Linked DNA regions of Caenorhabditis elegans. The protein of the gene in region 2 interacts with the protein of the main gene of each other region in a pairwise test. Each region holds a gene or a part of one and is shown on either strand. Other genes may lie near its edges. The genes, in order: C15A11.4 and K12H4.3.

Region 1 (4,830 bases), on a different chromosome or scaffold from region 2:
AACTTTTATTGGAAAGAGTCTATAGAATAAATATATAATTTTAAGCTTGAACATGACGTCTAGCTGCAACCACACGCTTCTTTGCAACACGCTTCTTGGCAACAACACGCTTCTTTGAAGCAGCTGCACGATGACGGTTGACATTACGATGACGAAGAACAGAACTACGAGTTGGGCAAGGACAATAAGCAGCATCGGATCCTGGTGTTCCATCATTTCCTGGTGCTCCTGGCTGTCCATCTTGTCCTGGATGTCCTGGTTGTCCATTTGGTCCTGCTGGCCCTGGTGGTCCAGCTGGTCCTGGAGCATTCCCGCTTCCTGGTTGACCTGGGGCTCCTGGTGGTCCTTGTGGTCCTGGTGCACCCGATGGTCCTGGAAGACCGCGTCCACGTTGTCCAGATTTTCCTGGGCTACCAGGATTTCCTGGAGCTCCGGCCTGTCCTGGTGATCCAGCACTTCCAGCTGGCCCTGGAGGTCCTGGTGGTCCCTGACCTCCACCTTGTGCTGGGGCTCCTGGATTTCCATTTGGTCCCTTTGGTCCAGGTTGTCCTGGAACTCCAGCTGGTCCTGGAAGTCCTTGTGGACATTTGATGCATTCTTGTTTCTGATGATGAGATGGCCCAGCAACACCAGGCTGTCCTGGTTTTCCAGCTTGTCCTGGTTGTCCATCATGCCCCTTATCTCCTGATGCTCCTGGTGGTCCTGGTGGTCCAGCTGGACAATTGGATGCTTGTTGACCACAATTGCATTGAGATTGCTTCTTTTGACGACGACGACCAAAGACGCTACGAGCCATACGGACAGAATCATCCTGGTTTATCATTGAGTTCCAAGCATCATTGGCAAAGCCCTTCAAAATTCAATTAAGCAAAATGTATTTTTTTCAAACTTTAATTTAATAAAAAACTAACCTTGAACTCTCCCAATTCGCGATGACTGTCTTCAACAAACGAATTAATGTCGGAATAAATATGGAAGACAGAGATCAATGCTCCAAATACCACAATTCCGGATAAACCGGCCATAACCGAAAGAAACGTTGCTGAAGACATTCTACCAGGTGAATGACTGTGTTCCAACAATTTTCAGTCACTCCTTTTAAAGCAATAGCCATCACTTGAACTGTTCAGATTAGGTTCACAGTGTAAAGTTTCGAAAAAAGGACAAGAAGAGAATGGGTTCCAGAGAAGTTTGCTGTAATCTGTTGACTTCTTTGTGGCGATGTTCATTAAAAAATATTATACGTTCCCGAAGAGACGCAAGTCATTTTTAAGATTGACTGGTCAATTCAATTTTCTTTCAAGTTCAAGTTCAATTGTAAAATGTATCACATTGCGGAAGTTTCGCAGAAATCCTAATTTTGAAGAAGAACAATTTTGGCAATCCTTCCGGTAACTGAAAAAAGAAGATTTCGAGCTGTGACATTTTATTTGATGATTGGCTTTGGCATTTTCATTTCTGCGTCACTGCAATTAATAAATATTGATAAAATTTGAATCGTTCAAAAGTTCAGATTTCAAAATAGTTGAAAATAACTCAACTTGTTGCATGATTACAATTTGCAACTATGTTGTTCGAAGAAAAGGAAGAAATTATGACGAATGTCATGATATTATTACAAAAGGGCTTTTTTAGAGACAGTTTATTTGTGTTTTGTTGTTCTGATCGATGTGTTCAAAAGTCTAAAAGAATATATTATAAATGATGACAATTATTCTTGTCTTCTTCCAACCTAGACTGTCGTCTATTTCATTCCCCAATTGGTTGCTAATGCAGCTTTATAATAAACAGGAACCCGTTTCATTTGTTATCTTAATTCTATAAAGCTTTTATTTTTTGTTTTTTTCTCGTATTCTGAAATTTCTTCACCTGTATTTATTATCTCCACAACCAAAGGTAAGAAAATCTAATATTCACTGTGATACAAATTTCTCCGAATCTTAATTCCAGAATGTCGGAAAACATTTCCACCCCTGATGAAAAAACAGAATCATCCACGGAATCAAATTCTAAAATACTAAAATGGTGCAAGAAATATCTACTAGAAGGTTGTTCTTTTTTCTGAAAATATAAATAATTTTCCGATTTCCAGGCCAGCAGCTAGATGAGAAACATGCAGAAAAAGTTCAAAACTTTCCTGAAAATCCAACAGTTTCTGATTTCGTTTTTATTAAATACCGAAAATTTGTAGCAGTTTTGATACCGTTCTGCTTTGTACATGTTGGTATTTTTAGTAGTTTTTAATTGCTGCATAAGGTTCGTGTTTTTAATATATTATTTTCATTTGCAGGTTTTGTGGTGGAGCACGGCAATCCGTTACAACTTTTTCCACCTCTACAATGATTATTGGCACATGCCAGTTACTATGATTTTGGGTGCATTAGTAGCTGGAATGACTGCTGAAGGAGCTGGAGCTGTTGCATTTCCGGTTATGACATTGATTCTACATTTAGCACCTTCAATTGCAAGAGATTTCTCTCTTATGGGACAATCTATTGGTAAGGCTGGAATGGAATGAGTCGCTTTGCAGCATTGTGAGAATATTGATTTTTCGTTTCTGGACCGGTATTTATTAGGAAATATGCATATTCATCGAATGAGTTTACTGTAAAAATTGTTACGAATTTCTGTTTTATGTTTCTGAACACATTTTTAAAATGTAACACCTGCTCAAACATAGAAAAGTAAGTTTTCTAGAATTTCTACAACTAAAAATAACATGACTGAGCAAAACTTATGCAAATTATGAGAACAAACTCGATACAATTATTTTTCTCAGGAATGATGTCTTCACTTGTTTGCGTGATTTTTATGAAGGTTCAGTACGAATCAATGGCTGTGATTTTTGGAGTACTTGGTGCTATCCCGGGTTTCATTTTTGGAGTTCATGTTGTAAGTTTGTTCATAAAATTATCCTCTCCGTATTATCCTCTCTGTTTTTTTGCCCTAACAGTCACTCCATTGCAGTTTGACCCTCTCTTCACTGGAGCACAGAAGAAAATGATGTTCGTATCAATATGGACCGCATTTGCTTTTGCTCTCGGACTACTGAATGCTCAAAAAAAGAGGCCGACATTTGTCAAAATTCCAGAATTTTGTTTCTGGAAAGGTCTTCTTCTGTTCTTAACAGGTATTGTTGGAGGAGTCTTTGACGCATTTGCTGGAAGTGGAATTGATATTTGTATGTTTTCAATTGTGACCCTATTATTTCGAGTCAGCGAAAAAACAGCTACACCCACAACTATGATTTTGAAAGGTGAGAGAATGTTTGTAACTCCTAGAACTAAGTATTCCTTTAGCCTTTTCTATCAAAACTTATTTGGAGTATACTTGACACAAAAGTACAATAAAAAACTGTACAACTTTAAGGAATCGTCTCTGTGTTTGGGTTCTGGTATCGTGGGGTTATGATGGGAGACATATCGGAAACTGCATGGAATTATTTTGCTGTAACAATACCAGTAGTGGCAACAATGGGTAAATGAAATTCCCTCGAATTCTGATGTTTTACACCACTTTTACATTGTTCATAATTTAGCACCAATTGGTTCATTTCTTGGATCTCATCTCCATCGACAAGTCATTGCGGGGCTCATTTATGTGTTAGAATTGGCATCTTTAATTGGTTTTCTGCTCACAAATCCCTCGTGGGGACTGATTTCCGCAGCAGGTACGTTTTCCCTTCTCAAATTTTTTCCGAGAAAACCAGGATATTTCAGTTACAATAATTCTATGCGGTTTCGGTTTTTTTGCACTCATTGCCAAGTCTGGTGAAATTTTGATGAGAAGATTGGAAGAAAATAGTGAAGAAAAACAGGAGAACTTTGAGATGGTTGCGTGAATTAATTAGTTATTCTTGTGATATTTTCCTTGGTGTTTATTTATTTATTTATTGGAAGAAAATTCTATGAAACTTTTCCTTGTTTTAAATAGCTGTTATGTGTTCCTCAAAACCTTATTTTGAAGTTTTAACAAAAATAATAGTGTCTGTGAGGATTTGCATACTGTTTTTGAACAAATAAAATTGAACAAGAACAAATTATCTTCATTTTAAGGTATGTTCAATTTTCTGATGCAGTCACTTTCAGAAAAGAATGTTGATTTTTCCATTTCTCTAACTTTTCCTTCAAAAACGAATCTCAAAAAGTCTTTCTACATTTTTAAAAGATTTGTTTGTTTCACGCCCTGTTTTCCCACGTACTTTATCCGCTTAAAGTGCCCACTTCAATGGATTTGTTTTTCACTTTCACTTGTAGTAAATCCATATGAGTACTACATCATAACTCTTCCTCCTTTTTTCGACTTCTTCTTCTTTTCTTTTTTTCTTTTTCCGGGTGTTGACAACATCGTCATGATCCTATTCAACAATCTTCTCCTCCTTTTTTAACACTAAACTAATTTCACATCGGGAGCCTCCAGATTTGATTCTCCACTGGAAAGAATCTTCAAATATTATATTAAATTGTTCCGTTTCCAATCTCAAATATTATGTATAGTGGGGAAGATTGCTGTTTGGTTGCAGTTTCGTTTCAGAAAATAAAAATTTTGAAAGTTTTTGATTGAGCAACTCCATTCAATTTTGAAGTTTATTCGAACTTTCCAACGGATTAGGTAACAAGTTGATAAAAATTTAAATTAAAAACGTTAAAATAAAATATTTTAAAATTTGTTTGGTCAAAAAAGATTTTTTTTTGTATTTGTAAGTATCATAACGAACTTTGTGAATTTCAGAACAAAATCTACAACATTTCGGTATAACTAATATTTTCCAAACTAACAATGTTCCAGAAAATTTTCCTAATAATGTTTCTAGTTATTAAAGAAAAATAA
Region 2 (4,392 bases):
CTTCGTTTTGTGCTCCTTCGTGCATGTGACATGGATCCATTCGACACTCCGTCAATTTTTAGAAGAGATCGAAGATTTTCAGAAATTGCTGAAGCTTGTCGCGAATTGAATGCTGAGCAAATTATCTGAAAATATGAGATTAATTTTCTCCTTACTGAATTACGAGGATTAATTACCTTATGTGTATACGGTGTCATTTCTGTTTCTTCTGATTTTACAACAAATACATCTTTTGCTCTTTGATCAGTCAAAGCTCCGACCACATTCTCTACAAAATCAGCGTCTTCTGACAAATTCTGGCTTCTGAATCCTGTCCGTTTTGGAGGTTCTTGACTTGTTTCGTGACTGGAAATGATTCCAGTTGGCTCTAATTCTTCGAAATATTCCTCTTCGATATGCGAATTTTGAGCAAGATATCGTAACTGTAGAATTGGACGAAGTCGTGTGAATCGTGTAAGCATTCTGAAACGACATATTCTTGACAAAAGCATCTCGAGAAATTAGAAAAATAATAAATTTGAGTTGGTTTTGACACATATTTAGAAAAAAACAATTGAATTTCGCTTTGATAATTTTTTATTCAAAAAAGGCATAAAAAGATCAGAGTAAGAAACAACAGAGTAGCTTGAGATAAAAAATCAACAATAACAACAAAAATGTGATAAATTCAACAAAAATTAATCGGATCCAGTGTACTTTGATGCTTGGCTCTTCTTCTTGCGAACACGACGTTTCTCAATTTGAGCAGTGATCTGAGCAGCAGCCTCTGAGTCAGCAGCGGCATTGTTTTGTGTATCGAATTCCTGGAAAGGAAGATAAATTAAAAACTCGTTCAAATCGATTGTGGTACTTGGAAATAATTGTATAATAATTTTATAGTAAATATTATGACTGTATTTTGTCAAATTTGATTTTAATTTCATGTTTTTTATTTTCAAAATCGTACCTTTCCAACCAAATCAACAGTCTTTTCAGCGAGAATTTCTGTGACTTTAGCTTGTTTGATATTTGATGCTTTCACAGCCAACTGTTTCTCGATATACGAATGTTGTCCTTTACGGTGTTCACGGCGGATCACATTTGGAGAGACGTAGTTTGGGTTGTCGTACAGTACGGCTCCTTCGAATGAGCCAGCGAACAAACGAACCATTTCCAAAACGAAGCGTGGTCCTGAAGAAAAATGTTGTGCATGTAAATAAAAAGTATTCAAACTATATACTCACCAACTTCCTGAAGTTGAAGACTCTCATCAACAATTTGAAAATTGCGGAACCAGATTTTATCACCTTCTCCAACAGAAAAATTAAAGACGTGATCCACAAATGGCTGACTGCGTGGATGATGATGTGGTGTTCCAAGAGTCTGAAATTATTTTGTGAAAATTATAATTTTTTCTAACAAAATATTTATTCAAATTCAATTTTTACAAAATTACCTGCATAAGCACGGCCTTGATAAGCTTCAATTGTGGTTTCTTATCAAAAGCATCGTCAAATGAAAGGACTGGTCTTGAAGCTCTCAGACAATTTCCTGACATTTTGAGTTCCTTCATTGTATGCACATTGTGCACCAAGAATTTGATGGATGGCCCCTTCTCAACATTTGACATCCAGAGATAAGTGTCCTTTCTCTTACGACTTTCAAAGTACATTACTTTTGTGCAATTCTTCATTTCAGCAATCTCATTGAGAACATTCAGAGATTTCTGCTGATCCAGCTTCGAATCTCCTTTTGCATGTGGCAACAAATCCTTGATGTCCTTCATCAAATAACGGGTGCGAACGTCGGCTCCGCGGGAACAGAGCACAAGTACACGTTCGCGGTTTGTCCAAAGTTCCGCGCGTTTACGGGTCTCCTCAGTTGCTTGTTTTGGCTGATCATCATTGTCCTGAAAATGTTACAATTAATAATAAGATGGTATTAGATATTGAAAATAAATTTTTTAGACTTTCCAATTAGAATCTTGTTCCAAAAAAACCTTTTGGAAATTAAACTAGCTAATAAAGATTTACCGATTCATCAGAAGAATCATCAGAGCTCGAGTCCTTGGCTCCGGCAGCTTCCCATTCCATTTTCTGGTGCGCAGATTCCTCCTCTTGAACTTTCTTGATTTTCGAGAACTTGCCCATTATTTCTGATCCTGAAGGTTGTAATTTAAAATAATATGGAAGAGAGAAACGAAAATAAGTAAATATGCAAAGGGTGAAAGCAACCAAGACATTTAATAAAAATTAATTTAATTCCCGGATTTTTAAATCTTATTATGAAATGTGGTGAAGAAAATCAAAAATAAGTTAAGAAATATCTCACAATCGGATGAATTAAATAAATTACGGATGAAACACATAACCCATAGTATTTCATATGAAACAAGTAAAATAAGATGTAACTAGGATCTTCGAGTAGTTGTGTATGTGGTTGGGAACGGAACAACAACTTGATCGGAAGATTGAACAAGACGAAGATAGCCAGAGTTTGGAATCACGTTGTATCTAAATATTTTAATATTTGGTTTTATTTATCGAATTTTCAATTCAAACCTCAAAACAAAGGTGACATTTTTGTGGTTAAGCAAATTGGTTCCATCGTCGAGGAAATAATACTTTGACTTGACACCGATCTCGTCCATAACCACACGGTCAGCACGTTCCACAATTCTGTCCCATAGCACCACTTGGTTAACCTCCTACAATTGCAAAAAAAAAGAAGTTTTTTTCGATCCTCAATAAAAGTTTCCAAAGCTTACGTTGACTTTCGATTTATATTCTGCAACCAAATAAACAAACAATTGCTTGACGTTCCAGTTGAAAATCTTTGAAAAATCGACTTTCAGATTGAAGTTTAGTGTGGCGAGATCGGCTTGTTGCTCATCCGTGGCGTAGTCGACAACGTTTCTCCTGAAAATGGAATAAGATTTACAGAAATACGTTTAAAATGTTTTCGGAGAAACGCTTGAAAGAATTTCGCAATTTTTTTATTTCTCTTATAAAACCTACACTTTGACATCGTTGACAGTGAGCTTGGTTGGAACAGTGTAGTCGAGGAAAACTGTTGACAGGAAACAAGCTGCTGTGACTGCGGCCATCACCCAAAGAGTGAACGCTAGGAGTGCGTTAGCACGAGACAGAAGATTGTGCATCTTTGAGCTCGAATCAGCCTGAAACTTTGGATAAAAATGAAAAATAAAATTAATATAAATACATATAGAAAATATAATTGTTGTGGCTGAAACACTTCAGTAGACAAATGAAAACAAATTTTAAAAAGGAAAACTTTCATTTACATTTTAAAAACTCTTCTAAAAAATAAAACACCGAATGTGTCCAATTTACAGTGAAAATCGAAAATCGTCTACGACTTATTGGCTTCTCGTTGATTATTTTGGACGATTGATCAATGAGCTGTCTCAACACTTGAAAGAAGATACGGTGCTGGATATTCTTCTGGTTTTCTCCAATTTTGTGCGATTGGGTCGTTGGAACGGACGACGTCGTAGTATCCGCGGTAGAATGGCTTATCACTTTCTGTCAAGTACTTCTTCATTTTATATCCGCCAATCAATAGTGTGGCTACTCCGAAAGTCGCGTAGAAGATAGTTTGCTCCGGGTATTTCTTGAGCATTCGATGTGGCAGGGTGCTCCAGTAAGCCCAGAGTCGGGCGCTTCGCGACACGTGGTACTTGATCATCACCCTGTAACATCCTCTAATAATGCCAAAAATAAAGCAAGAAAGTCTCGGAAATTAGTAAGTTATATCATAATGAATCGACATGCCAAAAAAAGGATCACATTATAAATTAATTAATTTAATACGAGGTGGAACGGGTTAATTGTTCAGAGAAGACAAAAACAAAACGATATTACTAAATCAATAAATGATTTCACATATTCAGTGTAATCTTTGAAGAAAACTTAATCCGATTAAACGTATTTAACTTAATTGTATTCTGTCACTTCTGCCTTCAAAGAGCCAAACGAATTAAACGTATATTTTTAGATTGATTATAATATTTCTGTTTGGCTACAATATTCTAATAATTTTCGATGACTGAAATACATAAATTTGAAAGCAAATGGCTTTAAAATTATAAGAAAACGTTGCAAAATACGAAAAATAAATACGCGTAATAGAGTCGAGAAATGCGCCAGTTACGAGAAATGTGTCAGTAGAACTATCCACGAAATGCGCAAGCTGAGACATCGCGAAAAAGAGAATAGCGATTCGTGAGAGAGAGACCTCATGGAAAGAGAAATTGGGAAACACGGCTGGACGAGAATCGTAATTGTCAATTATCATTTTCTGTGTTTTATAATATTTGTTAAAAAAACAATTATAGTTTGAAAATTTCGAATAATTTATTATTCTCCGAGTTGGGCTAGTATAATCCTGCTC

The links.
Region 1: the proteins of K12H4.3 (region 2) and C15A11.4 interact in a two-hybrid assay, tested with the Caenorhabditis elegans proteins (one large-scale study listed by BioGRID).

The regions. Positions count from the first base shown.
Region 1 is NC_003279.8:7,397,919-7,402,748, reverse strand, and holds C15A11.4 (uncharacterized protein), read left to right. Parts: upstream 1-1,725; 5' UTR 1,726-1,896; intron 1,897-1,950; 5' UTR 1,951-1,951; coding exon 1,952-2,048; intron 2,049-2,092; coding exon 2,093-2,220; intron 2,221-2,290; coding exon 2,291-2,498; intron 2,499-2,779; coding exon 2,780-2,892; intron 2,893-2,967; coding exon 2,968-3,256; intron 3,257-3,369; coding exon 3,370-3,477; intron 3,478-3,538; coding exon 3,539-3,670; intron 3,671-3,719; coding exon 3,720-3,841; 3' UTR 3,842-4,039; downstream 4,040-4,830. Other genes in the region: col-7 (Cuticle collagen 7), read right to left, coding at 41-850, 912-1,052.
Region 2 is NC_003281.10:8,043,782-8,048,173, reverse strand, and holds K12H4.3 (Ribosome biogenesis protein BRX1 homolog), read right to left. Parts: upstream 2,141-4,392; 5' UTR 2,130-2,140; coding exon 2,013-2,129; intron 1,889-2,012; coding exon 1,436-1,888; intron 1,363-1,435; coding exon 1,224-1,362; intron 1,171-1,223; coding exon 947-1,170; intron 804-946; coding exon 678-803; 3' UTR 562-677; downstream 1-561. Other genes in the region: mals-1 (Mitochondrial Assembly of ribosomal Large Subunit), read right to left, coding at 1-125, 177-461; spcs-3 (Signal peptidase complex subunit 3), read right to left, coding at 2,390-2,492, 2,541-2,686, 2,747-2,897, 2,997-3,139; K12H4.5 (uncharacterized protein), read right to left, coding at 3,394-3,687. UniProt on the Caenorhabditis elegans protein: Required for biogenesis of the 60S ribosomal subunit.